Linked DNA regions of Rhinolophus ferrumequinum. The protein of the gene in region 1 interacts with the protein of each later gene in a biochemical or structural test. Links are inferred from orthologs where the notes say so. Each region holds a gene or a part of one and is shown in the gene's direction. Other genes may lie near its edges.

What was found.
Region 2: the proteins of CD2 (region 1) and CD58 form a complex in vitro, tested with the Homo sapiens proteins (3 studies listed by BioGRID and IntAct, with this or other methods). The link is inferred for Rhinolophus ferrumequinum from reciprocal best matches to the Homo sapiens genes CD2 and CD58.

Annotation. Positions count from the first base shown.
Region 1 is NC_046305.1:46,901,468-46,908,665, forward strand, and holds the start of CD2 (T-cell surface antigen CD2), read left to right. Parts: upstream 1-4,114; 5' UTR 4,115-4,211; coding exon 4,212-4,272; intron 4,273-4,428; coding exon 4,429-4,731; intron 4,732-7,198. UniProt on the Homo sapiens protein: CD2 interacts with lymphocyte function-associated antigen CD58 (LFA-3) and CD48/BCM1 to mediate adhesion between T-cells and other cell types. CD2 is implicated in the triggering of T-cells, the cytoplasmic domain is implicated in the signaling function.
Region 2 is NC_046305.1:46,745,038-46,752,906, reverse strand, and holds the start of CD58 (lymphocyte function-associated antigen 3), read left to right. Parts: upstream 1-4,838; 5' UTR 4,839-4,919; coding exon 4,920-4,986; intron 4,987-7,869. UniProt on the Homo sapiens protein: Ligand of the T-lymphocyte CD2 glycoprotein.

The DNA of each region.
Region 1 (7,198 bases):
CAGACACACGGTGTGGTCTTTCTGAGCTTCTCTGAAGCCACGGCATAGTCAGTTTTCAGTGTAAATGCTACACGCTGGCCTCCTTTCTCGTGCTTCTCACCTGAATTTATGGGAAGATGTAACAAGGCACCAAAGAGAGGAAACAGATGTCATGTAGAAGGGTGAGGGTGGACTTGATTCCTGAACTGGGGGGGCCTGTGTGGTGTGCGAGGCAAGATGACCGTGAGGTCTCAGCAGAAAGCAGACGGTGCCCCAGAGTTTGGAGCACAGGTCCCAGGGGCCGGAGGTGAGGCCGCTGATATGGACGAAGCTCCCTGGGCTCGGGATGCTCAACTGACATGTGGGGAGGAGACCTGATTCCTTTCTGAATGTCTTTCGGCTCTACAAATCTAACAACACAAGACGTTCCGTTGGGTGTGAACTGCCACAGTGGTAGCGCGACCTGGTTCTTGCTGGCTCTTTATCTCGATACAGATAGAGGGAGGTGGGGGTCAGCACCGGAGGAATGTCACTAGTCAGGGATGGGCATTTGTCCCTAAAGCAAGACCTCTGAGCATGCTGTCTTCCTCTATCTGCTTCTTACTGTCTTCCCTTTAGTCTGTTTCCTTAGGAGGGCTAGTTTGGGTAAGAAAAAGAATCAGAGAAGATAGAGCAAGAGACAACCCCTCACCTGCAGTGAGTTCGGTGAGGGAGAGACTGGAATGAGTCATCGATGGATTTTCCCAGAACCTCATACACAGAGGCAGGGACTGTACCCACACTCAGTACTGGGCGCTTTTGCCTAAGTGGGAGGCTTACTTAGCATTAACAAGAAATCACTTGGAAAGCAATATATGTTCACTTTAGAAATATTAGAATAGCGACAACAACCAAATACAACAGAATGATAGCCGTTATCCCACCACCCAGGGCCAACACCCTGGTGGATTTCCTTCCAAAAGACACACACTTTTGGAGAAAACAAAAATGGGATTATATTGTTTGTCGTGACCTTTTTCCCCCATATTCAGTTGGTCATATCACGGTTTATTTAACCAATTTCCTTCTCTTGGACATTTAAATTGTTTCCAGTTTTGACTTATAAAAAAGACTACAGATATATAAACATCTAGCCAAGTCTTACAAGTCCTTCATTATTTCCATAGGATAAAATAGTTATTTTGAACTTGTTAGGTCAAAATAGAAATATTTTTGATGCTTGTGATTCACACTGACAAACTGTCCACCAGAAACTCTAGACCTATGTGCATTTCTACTGACCACGTACAAGAATGTGTTTTCACCATCATTGACACAATATATTTTCATTGTTAAAATGAAAGATGAAAAAATGCATCTAAATTAAAGTTTACATTTTCCGTATTAATAAATCGACATTTTCATATGCTTGTTGTTCAATTTTATTTCTTCTTTTGTGAATTGTCCCATGTACGACCTTGACCTATTTTAATATCAAGGTGTCTGTTCTTTCCACGTTTTACAAGAAAATTTTAATTTCAACGGTAATAACCTTTGTCATATATCTTGCAAATAATTTCCCCCTTTTAGTACTGTGTCTTTTAAAATTTTTTTTTATGGCTTTTTACGTACAAAAGTTTTAAATGTTCCATGTAAGATCTATTGATCCCTTTCGTTTTCACAGTTTTTGTTCTGGAAGCCATGCTCATTACTCAAAATTGAATGAGATGTGAGAGGAGCAGAATTAATGTTTCAAAAGGAAGAACAGAAAGCTTCTCTCCACTTGCTCCATGAGAATGTAAGAAAAACTATCAAGAAAGTGGGAGGAAGAGGAGGCAACTTTTCTCAAAAGTTGAGGCAGGTTTTATGATGACCATTATCCCATCGTCTGGACCAGGCCGTGAAAGGCTGGACAGCTGGCTAATGGGTTAGCCACTCACAAGCAGAGACACGAGATACTCATGGTTTCTTAGGATCTGCATTTACTTTTGATAAAACATGTGTGACTTAAGTGTCCTCTATTTTAAAAAAAACTTTTCATTATAAAAATGATAAGCGCTCGTTACCAAAATTTCTGACTTCACAGACATCGATGAAGTAAAAAGCGAGTTTCTTTTCAGCCTCCTCAAAATCTAAGTCCTGAAAGGTAAACACTGACAAAAGTTCAGCATGAATCCTTCCAGACTTTTCTCCATGCATATACTAATTATAATATAATAATAATACAATATAATATAACCTAATACAATATAATGTAGTATATTCTTACTCTTAGGTCCACTTTATTCTGTTTTAACTGTTATACAATATTTCTTGATATGAATATACCATAATTATAGTTGTTTGCAAATTTTTTTATTACAAAAAAATGCTACAGCAAACATCCTTGAACAGAAGTTTTGCACATATAGGCAAATATTTGTGTACACTAGATTTCTCGAATTAAATGTGTAAAGTCAAAAAATATATGTATTTTCAAGTTTGGTGGAAATTGTCAAATTTCACCCCCCAGGACATATGGATTCACAACCCCTCCAGTATTGTATGAAGGGCCCTATTTCTCCTATATTCTTGTCAATAATGTAAATTATTTTTTCTAATTCTGCCAATCTGATGGCGAAAATGGTATTTTGTGGCTATGATATATACATATTTTTTTTTTTCCTTTTTCTTTTTGGTGACATTAGACGTCTTCTCATATGTTTATTGACATTTCTTCTATAAACAGCTCATTTATATTTTTTGCCCAATTTAAAAACTGAGTTTTCTTTTTCTTATTGATTGATAGGAATAATTTATGTATCTTGGATATTGGTAATTTTTCGTATATATGACTATTTCCTGTCATGTCTTTTCATTTTGTTCACTATCTCTTTGCCTATACATAAATGTTACATTTTTATGCAGTCAATTATATCCATCTTTTCTTTATCACTTTTGGATCATATAGCATATGTCGGTATGCCTTCCATACTCAAAGATATGAAAATGTCTATGTTTTTTAACACTGTTATAGGTTTTTAACATTTAAAAATTTAATCCAATTGTAGTTTGTTTTTGTGGATGATGTAAGTTAGGGATTTGTAATAATCATGAGGTAAATATTTATTAGGCCTTCCTTTACTTGACTTAATTTCATTCCGGGGCAACTTTTTGAGAGATCATATTGGTATTTGTACCTAAGGTTGAAACAGAAAACAAGCACAATTTTTAAGATTTTTATTGCCTCTATTCTAAAGAATTATAAAACTGGAAATTTGTTTTGGAAAACTGTCTCTGGGTGTAATTTTTTTCTGTGAGTAGATCTTTTCTGTGTGTATGCATCAATGTATCACTTTCTTTTCCCGTATCACAAATTTCTTTTTTCTTTCTCTTTCGCATTCCTCTCTCAATTTTCTTTTTCTCCGTATCTGTTCTTTTCTTTAATCATCTATAGTGTTAACCATCTCAAATGTTTTTTGAATCATTTGTTTTCGTTGTTTAATAGTATTTCATAGTCTCTCTGCACTTTCGTTTGTTTTGCAACAAGTTTGTTTTGTGTTTTTTTTTTAATTTATCTAACTGTGAATGTCAATAGAGTCGTTAACACTAAATGTAAGATTTGGGTAGTTCAAGCATTTACAGCTGAGACTCACTTTATATTTGTTTCTTTTTTATCACAAAACAAGTTTAGAACTTTAAATAAAAACACCTTTTGAGGAAGAGAAAAAAAATCTGCTTTTCTAATTATTTCATATGCATTTATTTTCCAATATGTATAATCATAGAATAAATGTTGTATTCTGCTATTCATTTATGAAAATTTACCTCTATTTCGATGTGGTTTTGTTAGAGGCTTTATAGCTGAATGGATAGAAGATGGGTTGTACAGTTGAATTGGCCTCCTTTATAACTAAAGGGTGATCTTAAGTGATTTGTTTAGCCTCTCAGTTTCTGTCTCTTCAATGGGGGTAATGAAACCCACCCAAGATTGTTGTGAGAATTTAAATGCGATAGGAAAACACACTCATGAGTACACCCACTTTGACAAAGGAGCTTATCAGCAGGGTTGGTTTGCTGCGTGAGTGAGTGTGTGTGTGTGTGTGTGTGTGTGTGCACGCGCGCACGCGCATATTTGTACTTTTTATGCTACTATAAAAGAAGCAAAAAACAGAGACACGTGGTTAAGCTCCCAGGGGTGGATTCTACCAGTTTTACTTTAGTTCCTCCTTTTATAAGAGCTCAGAATCACAACAAGGAAACTAACCCCAAAGATGAGCTTCGCATGTCAAATCTTAGCCAACTTCCTTCTGATTTTCATCTGTTTTACCAAAGGTACGTTGGTGTGTGGGTCAGGTACGTTGGTGTGTGGGTCTCCATGGTCTCCATTAGAAGCTTCTTTGGAGACTCTGAGCTGGGCCAAAGAGGTCACAGGTCAGCTTTCCCTGGCAGTGAGTTTCAAGACCTCAGTAACTGTCTTGCTTTTTATAGGTGCAGCTCCTACAGACATTATAGTCCTGGGTAAGCTGGGTCATGACATCAACCTGAACATTCCTGAGTTTCAAATGAATGATACTGTAGATGATATAAAATGGGGAAAAAATTCAACCAAGGTTGCACAATACTCAGTCAAGAAGAAAACTTACCAGCGAGAGGAAAAATACCACATATTTAAAAACGGAACTCTGAAAATTAAACGTCTGGAGAGAAATGACAGCGGTACTTACAAGGCAGAAGTATATGATTGGTATGGAAAACACATTCTTGGAAAACAATTTGATTTAAGGATTCTAGGTAAGTCTTTGTTCCTTACATTCTTCCATCTCAATATGGGTGCTATTTAGCAAGTTGGGGAATGGCATTTATGGAATGTGCCCAGGCATGACCTTGGCCTTGGGGGAGCCCCAAAGGTAATCTAATGCATGCCTCTTACCTCAGTAGAGGCTCCCATCTTGTGGGAGAGGTGAAATCCACACGTGGAAATCCACAGCTGACAGAACTTCAAGTCTACCTGCCTAAAATTGTCTCTTTAGTAGTTATTGGAATATGGGCATTAACCACAAGGTGGGCAGAAGAAAAAGGTGGGCATCCCAGGTTGATGATGAAGGGGCAAGCTAGGTGTAGAGCGGGGAAAGTGAGGCTGACGGAAGAGCAGTGTATCTTCCAACTAGAGCGACAATTTCAAGCCAGGATGGCCTGGAGAAATAGTTACATGGCAGGCAAGGGCTGAAAATAATGAATGTAAAGATGCACAGCACTTGTTTCTGATCTGCGCCATATCAGAGTGATCCGAGGGAGCAGATGTTTTTGCTGATCTCTGTAGAGAAGACCCAAGGTGTGGCTTACTTCGTATGTCTGTGCTTGTGCCAAGACAGCAGGGGTGCCTACTGCAGACAGAGGCAAGAAAACTAGCCAAGAAGCTGTCACTACAATCTGAGCGCAGTAGAGAGGGGCTGGTTTGTGATTCTTAGTCCTGGTTGCACGTTATAATCAACTGAGATGCTATTAAAAGTTATCAGTGCCCAGATTCCATCCCAGACCAATTAAGTCAGAATTTTCTAGTGTCGGGCCTGGGCATCAGTAGAGTCTAAAGACTCTAAAGAGCAGCCAAGTCTGATAACCACTGGGCTAGACTAACGGGTGCCTAAAATGAGGAAGAGTGAGCCTACTAAGCGTCCTAGGTGGAGAAAGGATGGGCAGGATGGCTTGGGTGTGGAGAGAGGGAAGAGAAAGTGGAATGTAAATGACATGGAAGTTCAAAGCTCAGGGGCCACTTGGTAGGAGGTGATCAGAAATGAGAAGAGGAAACAGCACTTGGCTTGGAGAGGAAGGCAGGAACCCCAATGTTAGCACAAGCCAGCGATTCAGTGAGCAAACAAACATCTATGCTTCACACAGGAAATGCTACCAGCAGCAGGGCCCCCTCCTTCGACAGACCTATGGTCACCCTCCAGCCCTGTTCTCAGCACATGGACCTGGCAGGTTTTCCTCGCCAACAATCCCAGACGTTGTCAGCTCACTGTAAAGGACAACTGTCCACACCCTAGTTCTCAACCTTGCATGGAGAGTACATTCCAGAAATGGGGTGGGGCTGAGAATGGAGCCAGAAGGGGCCTCTGTTTACGGGCCCAGGGAGCCCCAGATCTCAGGACTCCTGCCAGCATGGGCTCTAGTGCTGTGCTTTGAACGTGAACCTCACATTCATTTCTACTTTAGTATTGCAGCGATAATCGTGGCTACCAGCTGGGTGTCAGGGGCTTTGCCTCCATGATCTCAGCTAAGGCTCCCAACAAGCCTGAGCGGTAGCTGTTAGCCGTTTCTTTTCTATAAGGACCCAGAAGTGAGACTTGTCCACAGTCTCACAGGTTGACGGGTGCAAAGTCAAGCTCCAAACCCAGGGCTTCTTTTAACAAGGATGGTGACAGTGTTCTTCCCCAAAAAAACGTAATTGGGATACAATTCACATGCCACAAAATGCACCCATTTAAAGTGAACAATTCGATGGCTTTTAGTATATTCACAGAGTTGTGCAACCGTCACCACACTCAATTTTAGAACACGTTGAGTCCCCTAAAAATAAACCCCGCACTCCCTGGCCAAAAAACAGAGATCTTTCCATGACACAACAGCCACCTTGCTCTGTGTGTATGTGGGGGGGGGGGGCAGGGGGGGGGAGGGGGTGTAAATGTCACCCAGCATCTTAACTCAGTTTTGTGGTCTGGTCACCATTACTTTCCGCATGGCATTGGGTAAAGCTGCTCTGAGTCTGATTTTCATACTAATACTTGCATGGAGTATTCAGTGAGACAAGCAAAGGCACCCTGCAGTGCCTGGGACACAAGGCCTGTTTGCTCAGTGCCCTTCTCTGTCTCATGGTTTCTCTACGCTTCTGCGGGCTGCAGCCTTGCACCCACGTCTCATTAATGAGTGGGCTGCAGCTGCTGGCTGAAAAGGCAGTGGAAAGCTCCTTAAAAGCAGATGTTAGTGGAGAAGGAGTGAATCCTTGCAACCTCGAATTGAGGAGGTCTCATCGATGAGCTCTGCCCCAGCTTGACCTGGCCGTTCCCCTTCTAGGAAGCTGTCTCACAGAGAGGATGTGCACAAAGAAATGGCTTCGAGAGTCTGCTCACCTCTGTGTGGTTTATATTAGTGAAATGCTGGAAAGGATTTAAAAGCCCCCAGCAGTTAGAAACTTACTCATTAAACGAAGGACACATCTTTGAAAAAGATGGTGGAGATGTATATGTATTCAGATTCTTAA
Region 2 (7,869 bases), about 160 kb from region 1:
GGGCTCAGTGGAAAGGAAGGAAGGCAGTCTTCTGCCTCATTTCTCTATTTCAGGGGTGTGAGCTTTCAGTGGGAAATTGGTGACCCCTAAATGGACTGAGTCAGTGAGGGAAGATAGCTTACTGTTCCTCTCTCTGAATGGAAAGACGCCAGAGGGCTGTCTGGGACTGGGCCCTGTACCTAAGATTTGAGTTTGAATTGGTTCACAGCTGTAGAAAAGTGTGTTCTGCACATTATTAAATAGGTGAAGCAGTTGTGGGAAATTTGAAAGGAAAAAAAAAAACCCGAAGCCAGTATTTTAATAATTGTGTTTTTTTTTTCTGTGTATTTTCTAACGGGCTGGGGAATACAGTCAAAGGGTGAGTTTTTCTAGCTTTCTATGAAAATCCCCAGGACCTTCTTTCTTTGGCCATTTCTATGGAAATGTGGTGTCAGATGAGTGGTAATGGTGCCCTCCAGTGGCTGGGAGACCTCATTGCACATAGCGGACTGGAGCCTTCAGTCCTCCGACCAGGACAGACAGACTTTTCTTATCAACGATATTGCATTCATGAAACCTGCAGTGGGCTAGGCCCATCCCAGGATATGGATATGACCGCACCCTCTCTCACCAGGGTGTTTCTGTAGCAAGTTTTCATATTCTTGTCAAACAGTGGTTTCTCTGCGTTAATTGTTGAAGAAAAAAAGAGGTGGGATAAGAAAACTACCCGTGCATGGTGTAGAGAGCTGTTGATTTTTTCGCTTGTTTTTTTTTTTTTTTAAGGAAAACGATTTGTAAGATGTTGCACTAAAATGTTTTATATACACTTCAGACACCTGTAGTAAATTATGTTGAAAATACGGCTGTTTATATTTCCTGGAGTCCACTGTCCTTTCTCCTCACGTAATCAGCAGCGACTGTCCTCCATCAACCTGTGTCCTGAAGGTCTAGAGTGAGTCCTGCCCCTGACGTTGACCTGCTAGGCTCAAGGTTCATGGATTGCAGCCTTTATCATCATGCCCCACCCCCAGCCTAAGTGGTGGCTTTGTACAAATGATAACAAAACACTCTTTTCTCAAGACACCCTGCTGTCATCTGCTGACATGTATCACAATAAAGACACACGTGTATCCTGACAGGCAGGGCTATACTGCCCCTTCAGTTGTGCAACACACAAAGCACCTGGAGGCCTGCTAGGCGGGTGCAGAATGTAGAGTTTATACCCTGTTCTTTTTGCGGAGGAAAGACGGGTGGGCAGAATGGGGTGAGGAGACTGACGGAGAAGGAGATCGGGAACATGGGCCAGCCTTCTCCTTGGCCGTCGAGGGCCTCTGCAGCCAGAGCCCACCATCTTCCTCAAACTATACCGTGAAATATTCAGCCAGCATTTTCCAGGAATGGAGGAAGGAGCAGGAGCTGTGCATTCCTGTTTGGTGAGGATGCACAGCTCACCCGTCTCTGTTCCCTGCACAGCTTGGAGGCTGCGGTGTGTGGGAGGAGTTCACCGCGTCTGCAAGGTGAGAATGACAGAAAGATTAAAGCCATCATGGTGACACACAGTCAGAACCTCTCTGTGATTCTTTAAAATTCACTGAAGAACATGCAAAAGGAACTGGATAGAGGGTAATAAGCAGAGGGAGGTGCCTCCTTTTCTTTTTCTTCCTTTTAAAATGTAAGCCTTTCAAAGGCTTGAATGTGTGGTTTCCTCTGTTCTACATCCTCATTTGCTGCACCCTTATCAACTTCTCACAGCTGCTTGCTTGGCCAGTGTTGAAATGGGCCTGTTTTTCCATTGGGTACGCACAATGGTTGGTTCCATGTTAAGTCTCATGAGATATTTTTGCTTCATTTTTCCCAAATGTTCTCTTTCTGCCAGGGACCATTTGAGAAAGGAAAACAGAGTTACAAAATGAGAATACCCCTTGACGCCCCTGGTGCAAATCTGCCCCGTGTTTATATAAATGAAGTGAATGCACACTTCTGCAAGAGGCAAGAACGATTCTCATTTCTGCAGGATCAGGAGCAGTGTTTTCCTCTTTAAATTCTAGGATGTGTATACAGAAGCTTCCTGGGGGTAGTTCCAAGACTGGGAAGAAGTAGAGCCAGAGTATCAGGAGGGACATGCTAGCAGGAGCAGCAACCCCGTGCCATAAGAGCCGGCTAAAGGAGTCCTCCTTTCTTACCTCTTAGTCCATCATTATCTACAGTGACAAGCAGATGAAACTGGACCTCTCAAGACTGGTCACGGGATGAAACATACATTCAGCCCTCTTTTCGGTGGCAAGTCTGCAGTATATGAAATAGAGCCTTTTTGGACCCCAGCCTGAGGCACTGCAGGTCCAGCCTTTCAGAGTCACTTTTGATTCATGAAGTCTGCTGGACCAGGCATATAAGTGCTTCTAAAAGTGCTTGGTGGGAGCACAGCCCCTCTCTTAATGAAAGAGCTGTCCTTCCTGTTGGTCAGAGGAGCGTCCAACAACCTAATGAATGACGACCTAATGAATCATTCCTCACCAGATGCCTGGAGACCATGACCTGGGGGTTACCTCCCAGCCCCACATGACTGGGTAGTCCTTTCCTCAGCCCTGCCGTAGAGGGTGTTGGCTGCTCCTGCTGGCCAGGCCAAACAGCAGCCTGAGTGCCCACCCCAAAGGTGCATCCTGCTCCTGTATGGAAGGGTAAGAGTGGCACGTGGGACTTAGCTTCCGTGGGACTCCTAGTTCTACCCCATACTGTGTGTCCTTGGGCAAGTCACTTACCTTCTCTGATCCTCAGTTGCCTCAGCTGTAAAAATAGGGACAGCAATAAGATTAAATTAATCCAGGGAATACACAACACAGGACCTGGCTCATCGTAAGTGCTCAACAGATGTTTGCTGTTACGTGACTTCCTAGCTCAAAAACTTTCAGGGGCTCCCCAGTGTCTCGAGGTGTGACCCCATCCTACCTTTCCAAGTTGGCCAGAGTTCTTACCAGCGCAGGGCAGAGGAGACACTTGATTTTCTCACATTTTGTGCTACACACTGCACCTGCCTCACGTTCTCCATAGCTACAAACGGGTAGGGAATATCTTCAAGTGTCAGGCTTCATGATACAGTCCATTGGTGTGAACAGACCTGAAATGTCACTGCTCGAGATACCTTGTAAGATTTTATGGCTAATTTAAGAAACAACCCACCAATTCTTACCGTCTAGTCCAAGTGTCTTGAGTGGTTTTGGGGTCCCCACCTGAGGACGACGGTGATGACAGCAATCCTCAAACATTTCCACTCAGTTGCACACTTGGCAATATGTTGGTGTTTGTTAGGATAGCCGGGGTCCTGTTCCTGGCAGGAAAGAGTTCCCTTAACGCTACAGCTGTGCAGGGGCAAGTCCAGTGCTTCTGCCTGAAAGAAAGGGGGCGACTAGGGAGGCTGATGTAACGGGCTGGTTCTGCGAGTCATCTGATATGGAATCAGACGGATTTGAAGGGAGGGGAAGCCAATGGAGAAAACTAATCCATAGGATGGAGAGTTCCAAGGGCCTGGTGCAGTTAGGGGTGATTTTGGCAGGCTCCACAGCGAGGGCGTGAACAGACCTGACTCCTCCTCCTGAGGGAAAGTCCATCCTCCAGAGGAAGAGGAAAACAAAGAGGGAAATCGAGAAGGGACAAACCAAAGCCTGGAAATTCCAGCTCTGGGGAAGGCAGTGCTGGGAGTGGAGGTCAGGCTGAAGCAAAGGTGGCATGCACGTAAATGAGGAAGGAAAGACTGGTATTTGAGGGGCTGCACCAGTCACCACACACATTCTAGGAGTCGTCTAACATTCCCTGTTTCCTTTTTTAATATTTGAGGAAAGAGTGGCTTAAAGAGGCTGTCTTGTCCCGAGTCCCCATAGCTGAGTAACTGGCAGAGAAACAAGCTTCACGCTTCTGCTGCTGCTGCTGCTACAAAGCACTGAAGGAATAAAGTGCTTCGGAGCCTCTCTGTCCTTCGGCAGAGTTCTGTCATGTCAGGGGCTAGCCGAGTGCGGCGCCGCTTTGCGGGAGTGACAACCACTCTCCAAATGCCAAAGAGATGAGCTGGAGGTGCGGAAGGAACGAACACAAACCTGTGTGGGGACCGAGTCCCAGAAAGCAGTTTCTAGGCTCTCCACACCTCATGTGCAAAGGGGCTGGCTCGGGTAGTAGATGGCCGTCAGCTATAACCAGTTAACCATTGGCCACTAACATAACTGCTGTGGCTAAATTAGCAAGGGCAGAGTGCGACCAGCAAGGTTGTTGGTTGGCAGAGAAGCACGGATTGCAGCTAGCAGGTGTGGTTAGCAAACGAGTGGGCAGATTGCAGATCATGTGGCTCCAGCTTCCTATATCTGCAACCCAGGCGTCTGTGAGAATATAGTGGTATGAACCCCCTGTCTGTGGCTCCATTGGTGTTCCCTTTTGGCCTCGCCATATCCTGCGTTCTTATGTTGGGAGTGGGACCAGCGACCCCCCCCCCCCCCCAGCATGACAGCCTGCTTTTTAAAACGCAAGCCACTTTTAAGGGAAAATTCCGCAAAGCATACAGGGTGTTGGCGATGGGGGCGTGGCGGTGGGGGCTGGGGGACAACAAGGGGACCCACTGGGGAGACTAGAGGGCATTCCAAATATAGAGGAAAGGGCCCCCCCCCCCCCCCCCCCCCCCCCCCCCCCCCCCCCCCCCCCGGCGCAGGATCGCGCCAAGAGGCTCCCTCGGGAAAGTGCGAGGACGGGCGGGATTGCACCCGCTCCGGGAGCGCTCACAGGGGTGGTGAGACTGCACCCCGCCTCCCACGCGGGGGAAAAAGGAAGTGCTTCGGATCCCTGACGACAGGACTTGGGCTGGGCGGGACCAGCGGGGCGGGACCTTCCGGGGTACAGCGGTGGCGCCTGGCTCTGGCACACAACTCGCTGGCGCCTAGGCGCGGAGGCCGGTGAGAACTATGGTCTCGGGGAGCGCGGAGCGATGGGCCCTGGTGGTCCTCGGCCTGGTCTGCTTGCTCCCGTTCGGTGAGTGGCGGCTTTCCCCGGAGCCCCCGCAGGGACTGGGCAGCGCCGGGGGTGTCCGTAGCCCCACGCGTCCGGAGCCGGGTGGACGGGGTGGGGTGGGGTGGGGCGAGGCGACTGGAAGTTGGGTTCAGGATGGGACGGGGACGGGACGCGGAGAAACGCAGCCAGAGGGACCTTGTCAGGAGAGTTGTCATTTCACCAGCAAGTCCCCTTGGGTGCGCAGGAAGAAACTTGAAAGGTAGGCACTTGACTCGCGTTGGATTCAAGAGGGGCGGGATTCCGCCTCGTTTCACCCCCACGCACTGTTTCCTGTCTCTGGTGACCCCACGGCCCCGACTCCACCCAGTGTTCCTCCGAAAGGATGTGCCTTTTTTTCTGAGTCTAGTGGCTGTTGAGTTACTGGCGAGGTACCTTCGCCGAGAACTTGAACTGCTTGCCCCACCTGTGAACTTTTCCGGAACGGGGTCTGGGTAGCGGGTCCGACGCGCTTGACTGCGGTGAGTCGGTGCCCGCCAGCCAGCGTGACAGGAAAGCTGAGATAAGCTCAAAGAACCTACGTTACAAGGCACAGAAGTAAATGTCAAGAGAGGTTAAACATAAAGTGTTATGGGTGTGCAGAGGGGAGAAATCAAATATCTTTTGTGAAGCAAAGATTTCAAGGAAGGGAGGGTATTTGAACCTGGCCTCAGGACAGGTGGGATGTGGACATGCCACGATGGGGGACAAGATTCCAAGAGAAGACAGGGGAGCAGAGTGAACAGGGTGAGCTTGGGCAATGCGGAGTCGGTGTGCCCACGGGACCTTGAGGCTGCATGGTGGAGCCCTGATTGTCCCTTTTGGGACTTTGGATGATCTTCTGCAGGCAAAGGAGAACTAACTCTTTCTGGGCCTGACAGCATCAGAACCATGCACTTTGGAAGAATAATCTGTCAGCACCAAAGAGGAAGGATTGCAGTCCAGAGGAATTGGAGACAGGGAGGCCAGGGCAGAGACCATTAAGGGCCCAGAGGGCTTGTGGGTTTCATATGCCGGTGGCTATGGGAAAGAGGGAGCAACATACACAGCGCATGACTGGGTGGGGTGACTCTCCTCTTCCAGATGAGCTGGTCTCTCCTTGGCCCCAGAATGCACCTTTGGTCACTGCTCCCTGAACCTGTGGTCTGTCTTCCACTGAAAACCCAATTTACCCATCAAGTCCCACCTCCTCCACAAGATTCTCTGAACAGTTTCCTCAGGGAGGTCTCTGCCCCCTACTTCATGTATTCATTCAGCGAGTATGAATACCACCTGTTCTGAATAGGCCTTGCCTTAAGGACAAGGCTGATGTATGGGACACCCTGCAGAAGGCGAGCCCTCGGGGGCGGAGCCTGCCTCGCTAGGGAAGCTGCTTACCTGTGATTGACAGCATCAGCTCTAGAGTCAGATGCTCAGGTGTCAGACCGGGGCCCCACCCCTCACCTGAGTTATAACTTGTAGGAGTGAGCTAACTTCTGTGTGCCTCAGGATCTTTGTCTTTGAAGACAGAGAGCACCAGTCACACGAGACAAAGGATAATAACAGTATCGACTTCACAGAATGATTGTGAACACCAGTCATTCAACAAATACCGAGTATGGAGTATGTGTCAGGCACTGTACCAGGGCCTGGAGATGCTGCAAGGAACAGACTCCTCCCTGCCTTTGTGAAATTTACATTAGAGTCGCGGCAGGGGGAGCCAGTACACACATACACTGAAAAGATTTTTTTTTGTGCTGAACCGTTTGGGCGTTGCCTTATCTCCCAATATTTCAACATGTTTTCTAAGGACACTTGGTCTTCAGTAAGTCATAGAACCATTACCACCGAAACAGTGTGACTCATTTTCCCTCATAGAGCTTTGTGCTTTATGACATCACCATTTATGAAAAATCTGGACCAGTAGTTTTATAAAATGTCCCTTGATTTGGATTGTCTGTTTTCCTTGTAATTAGATTCTGGTTAAAACTTTCTTGGCAGGAATTTCTCGTGGGTGTGTTGTCTCCTCCGTGCACCTCGTCAGGGGCAGATGCAGTCCATTTGTCCCATTATTACAGATGTTACCTTGGATTATTTGGTTAAAGGGAGGTTTACCAGATTTCTCCATTGTAGAGATCCCTTTCCCCTTTGTAAATAGCATGCGATTTATTGATACTTTGACATTGTGTGACTGTTCTCTTCCCCCACGATCTTTCACCGATGTTTTAGCATCCAGTGGCCATACTTCCCCACTGAATATGTACAGAATACTGGATTTTAAAGTTTCTTGGATTAATCTTTTTTTTTCTTCTGGGTGGTTGTGTATCAATTTATATACTCGTATAGTTGCATTTATTTATGTTTCTATTCAATTTTAGGGTCCCCCCCCCGGCTTTAATTTTTAAATGTGTAATATATTAACATGGTTCAAATCAAAACTATGTAAAAAGATATGCTGGGAGCAATCTTATTGCCTCCTCTTCCTTCCCCCCATAAACATATAATTTGTTTCTGTTTTATCTTTCTTGTTTCTATTTGCAGATATGAACAGATACATATGTTTTTTTCTAACTCCCTTTGTTAAACAGCAGGTAACAGACACTGTGTATTCTTTTGTACCTTGTTTTTGCCAATTAACCATATGTCTGGAAAATCATTCCATACCATTTCACAGAGATCATCCTCAGTCCTTTTGTACAGCTGCATAGTACTCCGTGGCATGGAGATAATGACATTTCATTCAGCCACTCTTTGATGGTTAGCATTTTATAAGTGTGGTCAGGGGAGGGTCTCTTTAAAAGGGTGACAGTTGAGTGTAGACTTGAGGAAGGGAGGGAGCAGGCCAGGTGGCTGGTGGGGGAGTAGTATTCTAGGCAGAGGAGACCTCAA